Saccharomyces cerevisiae S288C: one gene and its partners. Changing the gene in region 3 together with the main gene of any one other region gives a genetic interaction. Each region holds a gene or a part of one and is shown on either strand. Other genes may lie near its edges. The genes, in order: VPS72, MUD2, LSM1 and ELG1.

Region 1 (5,348 bases), on a different chromosome or scaffold from region 3:
TCGCACTCTACGGTGTCAAGTGTGGTGTGCAGATGGTCGCCTCGTTGTTGTAAATTGGGCTTTCGATGCTAAGACGTCCCTCTACACGGCCACTGTTATCTCCTAACGCCGCTTCGAGGCGGGTGAGCATAGGTTATTGCCTGATGAGTAATTTCTTAGCGAGAATTGATAAAAAAAAGCAAGGCTATTATTAATATACGTGCTATTGTGAAATTTTCATTGGCGTATATATGTGAGGTGAATGTAAATATCTCCAACAAAAAGCAGAAGGCTAAAAAAAAGGAAAGGAAAAGAAGAAAAGGCAACGTCGAAAATGTTTACACCAATTGATCAAGCTATAGAACACTTCAAGCAGAATAAGTTTGTAATTGTTATGGACGATGCCGGTCGTGAAAATGAAGGTGATCTTATTTGCGCTGCTGAAAATGTCAGCACTGAACAAATGGCCTTTCTTGTACGCCATTCCTCAGGCTACGTCTGTGCACCTATGACGAATGCCATTGCTGATAAGTTGGACCTTCCACTACTGAGAACAGGCATGAAGTTTGAATCCAATGATGACGACAGGCATGGAACTGCATACACAATAACTGTAGATGTAGCCCAAGGCACTACCACAGGTATTTCTGCTCACGACAGGTCGATGACTTGTAGGGCTCTTGCAGACTCTTCCTCTACGCCAAAATCATTTTTAAAACCAGGGCACATCTGTCCCTTGAGAGCCGCTGATGGCGGTGTTTTGCAGAGAAGAGGCCACACTGAGGCCGGTGTCGATTTGTGTAAACTAAGTGGACTAAGTCCCGTCGCTGTTATTGGCGAATTGGTTAACGATGACGAACAAGGAACTATGATGAGATTAAATGACTGCCAAGCGTTTGGTAAGAAACATGGCATTCCTTTGATCTCCATCGAAGAATTGGCCCAATATTTGAAGAAATAATCTGGTGAACATTTTCTCCATTCATTCTATCACAACAGACTCACACATATATACATGTATATATTTGTAACTTTGTATATATCTTTTGTTTTTTGACCTTTTTCTTCCTCTATGTTTTTCAGCCATACAAAAATATGGGATTTTTAGCAAGAGAAAAAGTACATCTAAAAAAAGTAGTAATAGGAGGAAGCCAAGATTGGTTGAAACACAGTTATAAACTCTTCAAGGCAATTATGAACAGGATTTTCGGATATGGGAACAAAAAGAGCCATGATCAGCTCTTACAAGAGTCGAATCAGTCCATGAATCAGGCCCAACAATCACTATCGAACAGAATATCCCAGTTAGATACTCAAATCGCCCAGTTAAACTTCCAGCTGCAAAATATTCAAAAGAATTTGCAAAGATCAAACAACAAGCAACCCTCGTTAAGAAAACAGGCTTTGAAGATTTTAAATAAACGTAAACAGTTAGAAAATATGAAGGATTCTTTAGATTCTCAATCCTGGTCCATGACGCAAGCCCAGTTAACAAATGATAACTTACAGAACACAATGATCACTATAAACGCACTAAAGCAAACAAACAATGCCATGAAGGCTCAATACGGCAAGATAAATATCGACAAACTACAGGACATGCAGGATGAGATGCTGGATTTAATAGAACAAGGGGATGAGCTGCAAGAAGTCTTGGCAATGAATAATAACAGTGGCGAGCTCGACGACATTAGTGATGCAGAGCTGGATGCAGAGCTGGATGCTCTGGCACAAGAGGATTTCACTTTGCCAACCAGCGAAAACTCATTAGGTAACGATATGCCCAGTTACTTACTAGGTGCGAATGCGCCACCGGCTTTTATTGATGAAGAGCCAAACTTAGATACTGAAGACAAAAATAAAGCTTTAGAAAGCGCTCAGTGAAAACAAAAAGCACACAAAGTTGCATATTCAGAATTTTTCTCTCCTTTCCCTTTTCTTTATATTCTCTTTGCTGGTAAGCCAAAATATGTACCTTATTTAGGTTTTAGTAGTTTTCTTTTTTCTTTGTTAAAAAAATCCTGATGGAAAAAACAGTAAGCAGAAAGCACCATGTAGTCTAATGAATACAAATAGAAGTGAAACCGAAGCAAATTCACAGTGCACGATGAGTGATGAAGGTGCTGATAAAAGTCTAGATACTAACACAGAATTTATTATACAAACACGATCTAGGAGGTCTAATGCCGGTAATAAATTACAAAAACTATTGGAGCAGGAGCTAAGAGATATAGAATCTACCAAAAGACAAATTTCTTCCTATAAGAATGGTAATGATGATGAAGAAGATGAAATAGGGCTGTTGTTTCAGGAAGATGAAGATGATGAAGATTTCGAAATGATGGCAAAAGATGACGATGATGAAGGGGAAGAAAAAGAAGATGAGACTCAAAGTATAAGGAAAGAGCCCTCTCAGGCTTCAAGTGAGCAAGCAGCCGATGACTTAATGTTCAGCAGTAGCGAATCTGAGGACTCCAGCAACGAGAATGATGAAGATGCAGAGGAAAAGGAAATACGAAGACAAGAACTACTTTCAAGAAAGAAAAGAAACAAGAGATTACAGAAGGGTCCCGTTGTAATCAAAAAACAAAAACCTAAGCCTAAGTCAGGAGAAGCTATACCAAGATCGCACCATACCCATGAACAATTAAACGCAGAGACGTTACTATTAAATACAAGGAGAACTTCTAAAAGATCATCGGTAATGGAAAACACGATGAAAGTTTATGAGAAATTGTCTAAAGCTGAAAAAAAGAGAAAAATTATACAAGAAAGAATAAGGAAACACAAGGAGCAGGAGTCTCAGCATATGCTGACACAAGAAGAGAGGCTACGGATTGCCAAGGAGACTGAGAAGCTGAATATTTTGTCACTGGATAAGTTCAAGGAACAAGAAGTTTGGAAAAAGGAGAATCGTCTAGCTTTGCAGAAAAGACAAAAGCAGAAATTCCAGCCAAATGAGACTATACTGCAATTTTTATCTACTGCTTGGCTAATGACGCCAGCGATGGAGTTAGAAGATCGTAAATATTGGCAGGAACAATTGAATAAACGTGATAAGAAGAAGAAAAAATATCCGAGGAAGCCAAAGAAGAATTTAAATCTCGGAAAACAGGACGCATCAGATGATAAAAAGCGGGAGAGTGAAGAATCGATAAAGAACGATGGCGACGTGAATTCTTTGGGTGAGAATTCTTCATCTGTACACAACCAGAAAAGGATTGAGGAAACTTCTACTAACGATACAGTTGAAGGAGAATCGAGTCCAGATGCAGCGGTGAGTAGAGTAAATTCAGACGAATTAAAGCCAACAGCATTACCTGATGTTACATTGGACGCAATTGCAAACAAGCAGAGTACCGTTGATGAAGCTCCCAACAGCCAACCACAAAAGAATATAATAACTAATGAGCAAAAAATTACCAATGTAGGCGAACCGATACAAAATTTACATAATGAAGAAATTAAAGATGAAATGGTAAGTGCTCTCGAGAGCAGGGAAAATACTTTTGAAAACTCATCACCTGCTGCCCAAGTGGTCTCACAAAGGGATAATTCTGCAACACCTACACCATCAAACTCCACTGGCACTGAAGATACTATATTGATCTCTCCGGATACGGATATAAAAGGAGAGCCTGAACCTTGTCTGAAAACCGAAGGCATCGAGAACTTATCTCATAATGTACCACAAGAGACCAAAAGCAATACTGATGTTTCTTTCTTGAAACAAGTAACGTTTACCGACCATCCGCAAGTGGCCATAATCGATACTGAAGAGTCACCCTCAAAAAAAGATACAGCTAATGTTGATGAATCTTCCGCGGAAAACTCTTTATCAACACAGACCTACGAAGGGCCTGAGCAATTAACCTCAAGGAACTTTGTTACACTTTATGATTTTCCTAATGCTCCTCCAAATCTAAAAGATTTTAACACAAACTTATTTGGTGATCGATGGTCATACACAAATGGGTTATCCGCCACTCAGCGTCCACAAGATATGAAAACTGTTTTCCACTCCATTTTACCATCACCTCCTCAGTCTTCAGTACCGTCTCCTACCGTAGATATATCACTTGATCTGTCAGCTCTGGCAAATTTCCCATCTTTTGGGGAATACGATAAGAAAATAGTCCATCAAATCAACACAGAGATAAATAAGGATTTGGAAATCAAAATTAAAACACAGCCTCCAACGGGTGTCTTCTTAGCCAATGGTATAAGAAAAAAATGTTTAATCACAAATAAAGAATGTCAGTACTTTGATCCAAGGACTGGTGTGCCTTATTCTGATGTGGAAGCTTATAAAATTATTCAGCGGATTCAAGATCCTATTTCTAAGGAGGAGGGAAGGTCAGATATCAAGCGTGATGAAACGACAAATGAGGATAGTGACGATCAAGTGAGATTCAAGTGGTTTGGGTTCAAAAACGGCGGTATTTACCTTGATTTAAGTCAAAGACCTGCAAAAGGTGTTCCTGAAGGATTTTAATTGAGACAGACTATATAATGGTAGGTCGTTAAACATTTGACTATATTCCACACAAAATAAGAAATCATAAAGATCATTTTACATAAAAATATACTTTATACGCTCCATGTCTTATACAATCGTTACATTCATCAATTTCTGGTGAAAGCTTCAACTAAAGTTTTGAAATGATTTTCGGTCTCTCTGATTATTAGTGGTACGCTTGAATCATTATCGTCGTCATTCGCAACTTTCGTACCAACATTTTCAGCAGAATCAAAATTGTAGTTTTGTGCATCCGAGTCATTTATATTTAAATGTAGATGCAATTGCTGTAGGTTATTGTATAAATACATGTAATTTGTAGCCAGAAATCTTTCTGGTGATTTCGTCTTTTTACTGCACTTTGTCATGACTGTTTCGAAATCATTTCTTAATCTAATGATGGAATTGTATAAGGGTTCAGATCTTTCGTCTATGGACTGCTTATGTGTTATTGCCAACGTCAAGAAGCTTGATAAAAATTTACCGAACTGTACAGTTAACTCATGAGGTGAGGTCAAAGGGCTACTATTGGATGTGCTTGAGTTGCCGGCATATTTTGCCACATTTGTAGTTATTGCCGCTTTTCGTAAGCTCTCGCATTGAAAATCGACCAATTGCTGAAATCGAGGCCATAATTGAATTAATTGACCATTCAAGAAACTATCAAACATAGACGGTATTCCTCTCCTTTCTGATTCAAATTGTAATTGATTGGCCACACGAATACTTATTAATACACCAAAAATGTCATAATTATATTGGATCAGTTGTTGAGTGTATGTTGTGGCTTCATCAAAAGTTGGTTGAAATATTTGTTCCAATAAACCATTAATTTCCTCAAAATTATCGC
Region 2 (4,366 bases), on a different chromosome or scaffold from region 3:
TTAGATAACTTGATCCCTCTCATAACAACACCATTCACAGCTGATTCATCAGCATTGACATTTCTCAACACTTTTTCTTCGGATACGAGTTTGATTAATTGATCCTGCACAATGGGAATTCGGGAAGAGCCTCCCGCCAAAATGACCCCATTTATCTCAGGTAAATTTGTTCCATAGCCACCGAATTGTTTTGTAACAGCGTCATTTATGGGTTTGACAATGTCCAATAACGAGTCTGCAATAAATTCTTCGAATTCCTGTCTAGTTATAGAAGTACGGAAATCAATATCGTTGATCAGTGATTCTATGTTAATACTTGCCTCAGAATTGGCGCTTAAAATTAACTTTGCCTTCTCTGCTGCTTGGTTGATTTTTGCTAAGGCCTTGGGATTAGCGTGCAATTCATCAGTTCTTATGGCTGGGTGTGTTTCCAAAAACTTATTCTCTATCAAACTGCCAATATCCATTGTAAACTTTGCACCACCTAGATGTGGATTATACCCATATCCTTCAAATTCTATTGTAACGGGCTGAGTAGTGTCCTCCGGCTGCAATATAGAGAACATTGAGGCCTTAATAGAACCGCTCCCCATGTCATATACGATATAATGCTGCTGTTCACCTGGTGGAAATTGGCGCTGCTTTAATACAAAGTTAACTGCAACAGACATCCCTTCACTAACCAGATATGTCTCTTCGATTCCTGTGGTTATTGAACTGGCATCTAAAAGTGCTTTCCTTTGATGTTGGTCAAAAAAGTCAGGAATTGTAAAACTCATCTTGTTTACAAAGTCCTCAGTTCTTGCATCTCTATCCTTCAACAGTGAATTGGCTCTATTGGCAATCTCTTGGACATTCATTGCCACTAACTCTTCCAATGGATATTCCACATTATCAACTAAAAAGGCTATGGTACTTCTATTTGTTGATACCATTTCTAAACCGGGGTGTTGTTTTGAATACAAAGTTACAGTGGTTTCATCTTCTAGTGATTTCCCAAGTAGCGGTTTCAAATGCAACAATGTGTTTTGGGGAAACCTTGTTGCTAAACTGCCAACAGCGGAACCGTAGATTCTTTCAATCCCATTCGGATCATCCTTTCCATAACCTGGTAATCTTTTTATCGAAAGACCAGATATCTCCTTCCGTTTTGCCTCTGGTGTGAGCACAAGTTCTAATGGGGCTTGCGGAGAAACCACAATGGCCTTGATATTTTGCTGACCGTAATCAACACCTAAAACGGCTGCTAAAGACCCTATAGCAACAAAAGCTGTTAAAAATAAAAGCCTTAAAACGTTTCGCATGGTAATATGCGTACTTATTTGCACTAATAATGCCAGAATACTGCAGGAGCGATACTGTTAATATTACGCTGTAGAATGGATCACTTTTATAACAGCGTGTTCGATATTATATATTTGAGGCGCGCGCCTAATTAGCAAGTGCTGAAAAAATTCGAGATGAGAAATTAAACTGTACATGCTAATATAAAAGAAGTAGAAAAGGAAAGTTAATTGACACAGAAAACAAGCACACGGAGATGGCTGATGAAAAGAGACTGGAGGATTTGAGATCCAAAATAATGGAGTCTATAGGAAAATCAGAAAAGGATGTTGTGCCGATTGAGAACAAAAGATTCAACACGGATAATGCAGTTATAGATACACATTTTAAGAGGCAAAAAAGTGACGGTGAGCTTCCGAAAGCGCCAAAAAGTAGAAACGTTTCACATTCTAATAACAGAGGACCATCGTCAATAATTACTATGAGCACGAATCGAACGACTTATGAACAAACAAGGGCAGGTCCTCATCGTCAAAGTTATCGGGATGCATCGGGAAGATCATATAACAGGGAGAATCGGTATAGTAGTCACAATACTGGGCCCCAATGGAACAACAATCCCTATAATAGGCAACGGGATGAAAGAAGAGGAAGAAATGAAAGGTTCGATAGAAGGGGAAGAAATGGAAACGGAAACTACGATCGTTTCAATTACCAAAGGAAGAACGAAGGTTCTAAATTCAATGGCGACCGTGATAAAAGGCAGTTGCAAACTAATAAATATGACATGAACTATAATTCCCAAAATGTAATGTACCCGGGTTCATCATTCGATTCTCCGGCTTACTACAACATGGCCTCATCCAAGGCAAATTCAAGGCTTGTAATTTCGGGCTTGTCTCAAAGCAGCGACCCCAGCATTGTAGCAAGATTGAAAGATTTGCTGGAAAATTTTATTTCAGGTCTCCAGAAAACTGAGAGTAATGCGGAGGACTTTAAAATTTCCAACTTTTATATTGGTGAAGGAAGGCCGGACCATATTATTGTTGAGTTTAGTTCTCAGATCTGTAGCACTATGGTTTTGGCCTGTCGATCATTCTTTAATGCGAAGCTTGGTACTTTCGACTTAAAATGGAGAAGACCTAATGATTATGTTCAACAACTTGATCATCTGGTCGATTTTTGCAGGGGTACGGTAATTGCATTGGAAAATTTGGAAAATATAGGCGAGGGTGAAGATTATAGAATGAAAGAGCTTTTTTCGTCATTGAATGTAACAAACGGTACCGCTAAGCCACTTTTTTACAAATGTTCGTCCAATACAAACAACACTGGCAAAGAATCCGAATTCACTAAATGTATTCTATTATCGTTTGAAGTCGTCACTCAGGATATTCTTGATAAATTAAAACCATACAAATGGTTCAAGCCAAATGATGGAAAGATATCACAAGTTACTTCATGGATTACGTTTCAAAGCCTGCCAAATCTGGTTACCCAATCTGTTCGTGTTGAATCGAGAGTTTTGTTGCTCTTAAATTGTCTTGATCCATTGGATTTGAAAGATGAAACCTTTATCACAGAAATTAAAGAAACATTAAAGTATAGTATCGCGGGAGCAGATACGATTAAAATATGCCAACCCGGCGTCGATTACAGACTTAATTTTGAAAACTTGGCTTCCGGAGCCGGTAATATTTATATCAAGTTCAAGACCTTGGAGGCAGCAAAACACGCAATGGAAGAATTGCCGGGTACGCAATTCAACGATCGCACTGTTCTGTGTACTTATATAGATGAGGACGACTTTGACATGATGGAAGCAACCCAACTTTCCTAAATGGTCTATTTTGTAGAGCGAAATTAAGTAAAGAATTGAGTATTCATTATGTAGATCTAATCTTTAACGCAGTGAAAAAAGTCCTCGTTTTTGGTGACTTTTTTTGTACAATTACTTTTTTGAAATATAACGAAAGTTAGCAGATTGACTACTAACTTGCGATCTGGAAAATTAAGAGAATTCAAACTTTTTTTGTTGCATGGGTCAATAATCATCATTAGAGCTTGCCTTGATCAATTTCCTTCACATTTTTGGAATAACTAACATTATAAATCAAGCCTAGTATAGCGCGCCAAAGAAGATGGCTAAAGATTTATTGCCCAAGCAAGCGGCCAACGAGCCATCGTTAAAGGACTGTACCTGTAAAAGATGTCTTAAATTGGGTGCTTCAAAAGAAAAAAAGATTAGAAGAAAGAAGAAAGGTGAGGAGAAAAGAGAAAGACATTATGGAAATAGACGAAAGTTAACATTCAACTTTTTGAAGCATACGAACATGGAAAATACAAATTACGACGTAATCACTTCGGTTGGATATCTGAATGAAAAATACGGATTGAAAAAATCACATTACATTGAAAAATTTATCAAATGCATCCATAGAAAAATAAATATCGATGTTAGCAAAATTACGGACGCCTATGTAAACTCGCTAAACCCGTGGGTTAAAGTAAAACTCTTCCTTTTATTGGTGACATTGTCTGAAAAGGGTGGTCCGGAATACTGGCTAGATAAGACAGATGGTGAAAAGAACTCAGAGGCGTCTTCAACAGATAATAGTTTGGAAAATTCTACTAAAGGAGCAGATAGCGCTGGATCTACTGCTTTGAGAGATGAAATGGTCAAAAGCCATAAAAACCTTTTCCCAACTCTTACAGAGCAAATCATACAGCATAACATCAACCAAGATTTTACGGAATCGACTTACGACGAGGATTATGTATTTTCGTCAATTTGGGCAAACTTCATGGAAGGACTGATCAATCACTATTTGGAAAAAGTCATTGTACCTTACTCGGAAATGAAAGTCTGTCAGCAATTATACAAGCCTATGATGAAAATTATCTCCCTCTATAACGAATACAATGAGCTTATGGTCAAAAGCGAAAAGAACGGATTCTTGCCTTCTCTACAAGACTCCGAAAATGTCCAAGGTGATAAAGGCGAAAAAGAGAGCAAGGATGATGCCGTTAGCCAAGAAAGACTGGAAAGAGCGCAAAAGCTGTTATGGCAAGCTCGAGAAGA
Region 3 (3,303 bases):
ACAAGGGACAGGTTAACTAGACTCAATCGATTAAAAACATACATACTACCAGGGCAAAATGTCTGAAAATAAGAACTCTGAGGCTGAAGACGTATTTGAATTTTTAGATTCTTTGCCAGAAGCAAAGAATGGCGGGAAAATGGTTAATACTGACGTAAAGGGTAGCCAAGAAGGCGTTAAGGGAGGTTCTAATTCTGTGGCGGGCAAGACCGGGAATGATGGAAAGAAAGGTGACGATGATATCTTTGAATTCTTAGAAGAGTTGGAGAAGAGTAACTTAAGCTTAACTGACAAGAAAGGGGTTGAAAAGAAGGCTCCCAGTGAATCAGTTAATAATAAAGCACAAGACGAAAAAGTAGAAGAATCAAAAGAAAACAAAAATTCCGAGCAGGACGCTCACGGAAAGGAAAAGGAACCACAGCAGCAGGAGAAAGAAGAAGAAGAGGAGGAAGAAGAAGAAGAAGAAGAGGAGGAGGAGGAGACCCCATTGCATGACCCAATTGCTTCTATTTCAAACTGGTGGTCCTCCTCTGGATCCGCAAAGGTATCGAGTATTTGGAATAAAACTGCAGAACAAGCATCCCAGATCAAAAACCGACTTGCCCAAGAACAGCTTGATTTGACTTCAAAGATAAACACGAGCACGATTACTGAAATAGCCAGAAACTTACAGAAAATCGTTGTTGGTGAGACTGAAGAGGTGCTGCGAATTCATCTAGTCCATGATTTGGTTAACTATCCCTCATTACAATACAATATTGAAAGCAAGTTTGATCAAGTTCTAAGCTCACAAGTTGAGGGAGGAATCAGAATATTTGTAGATGAATGGGGCCATCCTAACAATAATGGAATTACACCTGTGGAAAAAAAGCCTTCAGTTGCAGACGGTGAGTTAGGCAACTCTAAAAAAAAATTACAGTTTAATCTATTCGACGGCAAGGTAACAGACGGTGAGAAACTGGCATTTGCAAACCTGGAAAATGCAGTCAAACTCTTCAATACTGCACATGAGGAATACCAGAAACAACAGAAAGAGGCTGATGCCACTCCAGATGACGATAGGAGTTCTATTAGCAGTAACAGCAATAAAATCAGTGATTTATTCATATCCATCTTACCAATTGCCATTCCGCAAAAACAAAAAGATGCCGACGGTGACTTTCAAGTGACCGACTCCAATACGCCAGGCAATTTCAATTTCACCCTTGTATTGAAAGACATAACTAACGATATTACCACCATAACAAGATCACAAGGATTCCCTGTCAAATGGGTCAATTGGCTAGAAGGATCCGTGGAGAAAACAGGATCAACAGCAAGTGAGGAGAGGAATAAGTCATACGATCAAAAGAAACAAAAAGAAAGTGAAGACGAAGACGAAGACGATGAGATCATTGATCCTAGTGAATGGGTAAAGGAATGGATCGAAGATGGATTAAGCTTGTCATTTGGGGTCATGGCACAGAATTATGTCATTGACCGTATGGGTCTTTGATACACTTAATACATAACATTTATAGCGTAACGATGATGTATAAAGTTACAAGCGCAGAGGAGTGGGTTCAAATTCGGCCGACTTGTTACCCGCGTTCGTTGAATAATGGAAAATATGAAAAAAATAGAGGAAGTCGTGAATATACAACGGTGTTCAGCACCTGTATTTCAATCTAGGGGAAGCCTGTATGACCAAGGGCTGATTAAATATTAGTGAAGATACAAGTAACACAGTTTAGTTATATTTTCTTTTCCTTTTCAACAGGATTGCCAACGCTGCAGTAGAGTTATACCAACATTTGCTCCGCTTTCAAAACCTATAAAAGAAAGCAGCCCTCGAATCGAATTAATTCACCAAAAATGTCTGCAAATAGCAAGGACAGAAATCAGTCCAATCAGGATGCGAAGCGACAACAGCAGAATTTCCCAAAGAAGATTTCAGAAGGTGAGGCCGATTTATATCTCGACCAGTATAACTTCACTACCACCGCTGCTATTGTAAGCTCAGTAGACCGTAAAATCTTCGTTCTTTTGCGTGATGGAAGAATGCTATTCGGTGTACTAAGAACCTTTGACCAATATGCAAATTTGATACTTCAAGATTGCGTGGAGAGAATATATTTTAGCGAAGAAAACAAATACGCTGAAGAAGACCGCGGCATATTCATGATTCGTGGTGAAAATGTTGTCATGTTAGGCGAAGTAGACATCGATAAAGAAGATCAACCCCTTGAGGCCATGGAACGCATACCATTTAAGGAGGCTTGGCTGACCAAGCAAAAAAATGATGAGAAAAGGTTTAAAGAGGAAACCCACAAAGGTAAAAAAATGGCCCGCCATGGTATCGTTTACGATTTCCATAAATCTGACATGTACTAAGAAAGAAAAACACAATACTACCAACATATATCCTGGAGTAAACTCTCAAAAATTTCCACATTCAGTTTTACCTATCCGTACACTTAATCAACTGCCTTTGGAGATGGAACAATAAAAAAAATGCAAGAGAGGAGGCCGTATTTGTATATAAATTAATATATTTAAATGTAAAATATATACAGTACTTGAGTTTTTTTATGAAGTAACGTATTTGCGCAGCATTCTTTTTCCTCTTACACTTCGTTATAACATTAACACTCATGCTATTGATACTTTTTCTTTATTATTATCTATAAAATTTTTTCGCTTTTTGTTTATGCCATGCCGTTAGCAACGAATTTTTTTCCATGCTCATCACTTTTAAAACTGTTTAAAGTATATAGAAAATATATGTGAATAAGATCGGGGTGGGACTATCAGGTAGCTAAGATTACGCAGATTTAGAAATGTCAACAAATTGTTTTTCCGGTTACAAAGACCTCATCAAGGAAGGCGATTTAACTCTAATATGGGTTTCTAGAGATAACATCAAACCGGTAAGGATGCATTCCGAAGAGGTATTCAATACTCGTTATGGTTCATTTCCTCATAAGGATATCATAGGTAAACCTTATGGTTCTCAAATTGCTATAAGAACAAAGGGCTCAAATAAGTTTGCATTCGTCCATGTTCTGCAACCAACTCCTGAATTGTGGACTTTGTCGTTACCACACAGAACTCAAATTGTATATACGCCCGACTCTTCCTACATCATGCAAAGGTTGAATTGTAGCCCTCACAGCAGAGTGATCGAGGCAGGTACAGGCTCAGGATCATTTTCGCACGCTTTTGCAAGATCTGTAGGTCATCTTTTTAGTTTTGAATTTCATCACATAAGATACGAACAAGCATTAGAGGAATTCAAAGAGCATGGACTTATTGATGATAACG
Region 4 (4,583 bases), on a different chromosome or scaffold from region 3:
TTGGAAATGTTCGGATGTGCCTTTGGGCGATCAAACATCTAACAGGTAACGAACTCTTGTAAGGTGTTATAAAAGGTCTGACATTTCCATGATTAGTTGCGACGTAAGTTCGAATACAGTGTCTTACGAGATGACTTGTAATTGGAAGCAGTGGCCGCTTTATTGTAGGGACCCGTAAACGTGTGATTAGCATGAATTTTATAAACCTCCCACCACCTGATAATCTGTATGTGCCTTTTGTTTTAATACTTCTTGACGCAAATCTACTGTCAACTTTAATATGCATCCCTCCATAGTAAGTCAAGGATCAGCTAGAACCAATAACGAGAAGTAAAAAAAAGTGACAAAAAGTCAAATGTGTCTTTATACGAATTTTTTAACCTACATATGAAGAGTAAGGTCATAAATAATAAATGTAGGGCTAAATGCAGTTAAGATTACTACAGTATTAGGTCTGTTTTTTATCACCTCTTACGGAAAGTGCGAGCGGGAAAAAATTTTTCTTCTTTCCTTATTATCATACCGATGCTCATCACAATGAAAGATACATATTGCATCAATAATAGGCAGTTTTCAATATTCTTCTGTTTAGTTAAGAAAAAGACTTGAAGTGAAAATAAACTACATTATGGTTGCGCCTACTGCTTTGAAAAAGGCTACTGTGACACCTGTAAGTGGACAAGATGGGGGCAGTAGTAGAATTATAGGAATAAATAATACCGAAAGCATCGATGAGGACGATGATGACGACGTTCTGTTAGATGATTCCGACAATAACACAGCAAAAGAAGAGGTAGAGGGCGAAGAAGGTAGCCGGAAAACGCACGAATCTAAGACCGTAGTGGTTGATGACCAGGGGAAACCTCGCTTCACTTCAGCTAGCAAAACACAGGGTAACAAAATAAAATTTGAATCGAGAAAGATCATGGTTCCACCACACAGAATGACACCCTTGAGGAACAGTTGGACAAAAATTTATCCTCCTTTGGTCGAGCACTTGAAGCTGCAAGTCAGAATGAATTTAAAGACCAAATCCGTAGAACTAAGAACGAATCCTAAATTTACCACAGACCCTGGTGCGTTGCAAAAAGGGGCCGATTTTATCAAAGCCTTTACCTTAGGGTTTGATCTTGACGATTCTATCGCACTATTGAGGCTAGATGATTTATATATTGAGACTTTTGAAGTCAAAGATGTCAAGACTCTAACAGGTGACCATTTGTCGAGAGCCATCGGTCGTATTGCCGGTAAAGACGGTAAAACGAAATTTGCGATTGAAAACGCTACAAGAACAAGAATTGTCTTAGCTGACTCTAAAATCCACATTTTGGGCGGGTTCACCCACATCAGAATGGCAAGAGAATCTGTGGTTAGTTTAATTTTGGGTTCCCCTCCAGGTAAAGTTTATGGGAACTTACGTACCGTTGCATCTAGATTAAAAGAACGCTACTAAACATAATTTGTGGGCTTTCATCATCTGTATAATATTTATATGTCGTTTTATGGCGAAATAGAGTGAATAAATAGGTTTTTTTTTCCTTCTTTTTTTTAGGACGCCAAACGCGTAACGTTAGCGGTGATAAATTAGTTTAGTATTATTATCCGGCTATTTGCTTCATGTATTTAACGTCTTCACTGACCACCTTCGCTGCACTAAATCGTATGGTACCATAGCATTAAACTTTTTGAATCAGAGAAGGTTTTCCAATGAAAAGGCACGTGTCTTTATCTGATATATTGACAGGAAATAAGAGAAAAGTGAGAAGACAAGATGCTCTACAGATTACCATCGATGACGAAAATGATACTGAATCAGGCACTTTTGACGCCAGAACAGCCAAACATGACGATTCTTCAGTAATATTTTTAAACCACTCTGTTGTGAAGCCAATTGAAGCTGTTTCTACTAATCACAAATCTGCAAAGGAGTTTTTGATGACGAAACGCACAAAAGAAAAATGCGATGACGACGATGATGATCTTATTGTAATCAGTGATAAGAGTCCCAAAAGTGAGACTAATTGTAGCAAAATTGCACTTTCGCAGGAGCATGAAGATGATATTTCTATAATTTCCACATCGAGAATCAAATCATCGCTTCTTAATGAAAGAGCATCAAAGATTAAAAACTTCCTTAAACATGAGACAACCGACACGTTCAAAAGATTAAATAGCATCTCTAAACTAAATGAAATAGAGCCACCATTACCATTACATCAATCGATTTTCCCAGTAGGTGACAAAGAGCTGTCAGATCGGAGTGTTGATATCCCGCTTCCTTTCCGCACAATACCGCCATTAAATCATAATTTTCTTCCTAGTGACTATGAATCGTTGAAAGACAAGAATTCAGCATCTTGTATTCCTGTTCGCTATCAAGCACCGGTATTACTTGGCACAAATATTAAAAGAAATACAACTCTCACATGGCCGCAGCTATTCAAGCCTGTCACTTTAAAACAAGTATTAATTGAACCCAAATTGAAACTTCGAATCAAAAATTGGATTGAAACATCCTTTCATACGCTAGAAAAGCCTACCTTGAGGAACCGTCTATTGAACAGAATAAATCCCAATAAACAACAGGGATCTGGTGATGAGCTTGCCAACTTCATTGTACCTGATCTCGAAGAAGACGAAAACTTGCGTCCAGATTTCTACAGAAATGGCGAAGCAAATAGCAGCTTGAGCGAATTTGTTCCACTAATGATATTACACGGAAATTCAATAGGCAAGAAAACGCTGATACAGACAATCATGAGAGAGATTGCTGGCGACGATAATTCTTACCAGATATATGAAGTTAATTCAAACATGAACAGGAGCAAAAAAGATTTGCTTGATATCCTACTAGATTTTACCACCACACACTATGTCAAAGATTCCTCAAAAAGGAAAAGTGACTACGGGCTTGTTTTATTTAATGATGTTGATGTTTTATTTAAAGAACATGATAGGGGATATTGGGCAATGATCAGCAAGCTTTGTGAATTTTCACGAAGGCCCCTCGTATTGACTTGTAAGGATTTGTCACTAGTTCCTAGTGAACTTATTGCCTTGGCAAGTGAACAAAACTCTTTGTTTCATACTAAGAAAATTAGTACATCCACAGTCTATGCGTTTCTAACAAAATATTTAAAGTCCCTTGAAATCGAAGTTTGTGACGACTGGCTTCGCGATGTTGTAAAACAAAATAATGCGGATATTAGGAAGTGCTTGATGCACTTGCAGTTTTGGTGCGTTGATACTGAGGCTGATTTGATTTCATCCAAGAACAGACTACCGGTCCTAACATCAACTCTTGGTTCAAGCGTTAAAGATATATCGCAATTAACTGATCTACTCTCCATAAATGATGTTATTGGTCAAGCAACGCTCAATCGTTCCATGGTTAGACAAGAAATAGATTCTACCACAATGACCCCAGAAAAAGTTAATACTTTCCAGGATCAAAATCTGGATGATGAAATGAAACTAAAATTTGATTACGTGATAGATTATAAATTGCATTTAAATGACCCCAATAGACAACCGTTATTACCGTTTGAATTGAATATTTACCAACACATCCAAGAACAATTGGAAGCTCGGTATTCCTATGTTAGAGAAGCAAACCATAGGCTTGATAACGAATACCTTGTTAACAGGTTCAAAAAAATGACAGAATCTACATTAAATTTTTTGGCGTCAAGAATACCGAAGTATGACCATCTTCAGTCGGCAAGAAGGACGAGAAATTCGAAGAAAATTTCTGATATTTTGAACCAATTCAAAGGAATTTATAATGATGAAACTCTGAACGAAAATGCCGAGATTGATCTGCTGAGCGCCACAACTCAACAAATTAAAGCGGAGATCAATCCCTTCGTTTTTGAAATCGCTAAAAGTGACGCCAATGTCAAGAATGAAAACAAACAAATATTTGAGTTGCATAGTGAAAATGTATCAGAAAGACGATACAAAGATTTGGTCTATCAGTTGTCACAAGAGGGTGTCTTGAAAAACGTATGGTTCAACGCTGATCCGAGCATAGTCGTGAGAAAATGGGAGCATTTGCACTCAGGCTTTTCAAAGAACAAATAACACTGATATGAAATTGCGTGCATCGTTACAGGAACACGTATGTATAATAAATATAGCATGGTAGTGCGGGGAAATATACTACTACTTTATATATCAATAAATTCTGCAACCTTGCATTAAGCAAATGCAGCACAATCCTAAATTCCTTCTAATAGTTGCCTTTATTTCCTCATAGTGCATATTTCAAAACAGCGAAAAATGCAAAATATGCGAAAACTTGAAAAAAAATGGCTGATGGGAATTACAAATAAAGCGTGAATGATAAGGCGTTTATAAAAGATTTAGCTTCTTAAGTACTGTGGTTTTGATAAAAGCTAGAAATTTGTAGATCACAATTGGTCACAAAGAACAATAAAAAGCTGAATATCACTGCTATGAGCGAGGAGTGTATTGAAAATCCTGAACGTATTAAAATTGGTACTGATTTAATCAACATCCGAAATAAAATGAACTTAAAAGAACTAATCCATCCAAACGAGGATGAAAACTCTACCCTACTC

The links.
Region 1: mutations in LSM1 (region 3) and VPS72 together harm fitness more than expected from each alone (negative genetic interaction), as found in Saccharomyces cerevisiae (5 studies listed by BioGRID).
Region 2: mutations in LSM1 (region 3) and MUD2 together harm fitness more than expected from each alone (negative genetic interaction), as found in Saccharomyces cerevisiae (5 studies listed by BioGRID).
Region 4: mutations in LSM1 (region 3) and ELG1 together harm fitness more than expected from each alone (negative genetic interaction), as found in Saccharomyces cerevisiae (5 studies listed by BioGRID, with this or other methods).

Annotation. Positions count from the first base shown.
Region 1 is NC_001136.10:1,423,946-1,429,293, reverse strand, and holds VPS72 (Vps72p), read left to right. Parts: upstream 1-2,086; coding exon 2,087-4,474; downstream 4,475-5,348. Other genes in the region: PAC11 (dynein intermediate chain), read left to right, coding at 1-106; 3,4-dihydroxy-2-butanone-4-phosphate synthase RIB3, read left to right, coding at 314-940; VPS60 (Vps60p), read left to right, coding at 1,174-1,863; VPS52 (Vps52p), read right to left, coding at 4,606-5,348. UniProt on the Saccharomyces cerevisiae protein: Participates in the catalytic exchange of histone H2A for the H2A variant HTZ1, an euchromatin-specific factor, leading to chromatin remodeling and changes in transcription of targeted genes. Indirectly involved in vacuolar protein sorting.
Region 2 is NC_001143.9:293,368-297,733, reverse strand, and holds MUD2 (Mud2p), read left to right. Parts: upstream 1-1,540; coding exon 1,541-3,124; downstream 3,125-4,366. Other genes in the region: Hsp70 family chaperone LHS1, read right to left, coding at 1-1,304; AAN1 (Aan1p), read left to right, coding at 3,426-4,366. UniProt on the Saccharomyces cerevisiae protein: Splicing factor that contacts pre-mRNA directly and is a component of the pre-mRNA-U1 snRNP complex (commitment complex 2) that forms during early spliceosome assembly in yeast extracts.
Region 3 is NC_001142.9:186,196-189,498, reverse strand, and holds LSM1 (Lsm1p), read left to right. Parts: upstream 1-1,854; coding exon 1,855-2,373; downstream 2,374-3,303. Other genes in the region: DUF5427 domain-containing protein MTC1, read left to right, coding at 59-1,495; tRNA 1-methyladenosine methyltransferase subunit GCD14, read left to right, coding at 2,820-3,303. UniProt on the Saccharomyces cerevisiae protein: Component of the cytoplasmic LSM1-LSM7 complex which is involved in mRNA degradation by activating the decapping step.
Region 4 is NC_001147.6:602,217-606,799, reverse strand, and holds ELG1 (Elg1p), read left to right. Parts: upstream 1-1,707; coding exon 1,708-4,083; downstream 4,084-4,583. Other genes in the region: MDM32 (Mdm32p), read right to left, coding at 1-193; PNO1 (Pno1p), read left to right, coding at 629-1,453; THI80 (thiamine diphosphokinase), read left to right, coding at 4,458-4,583.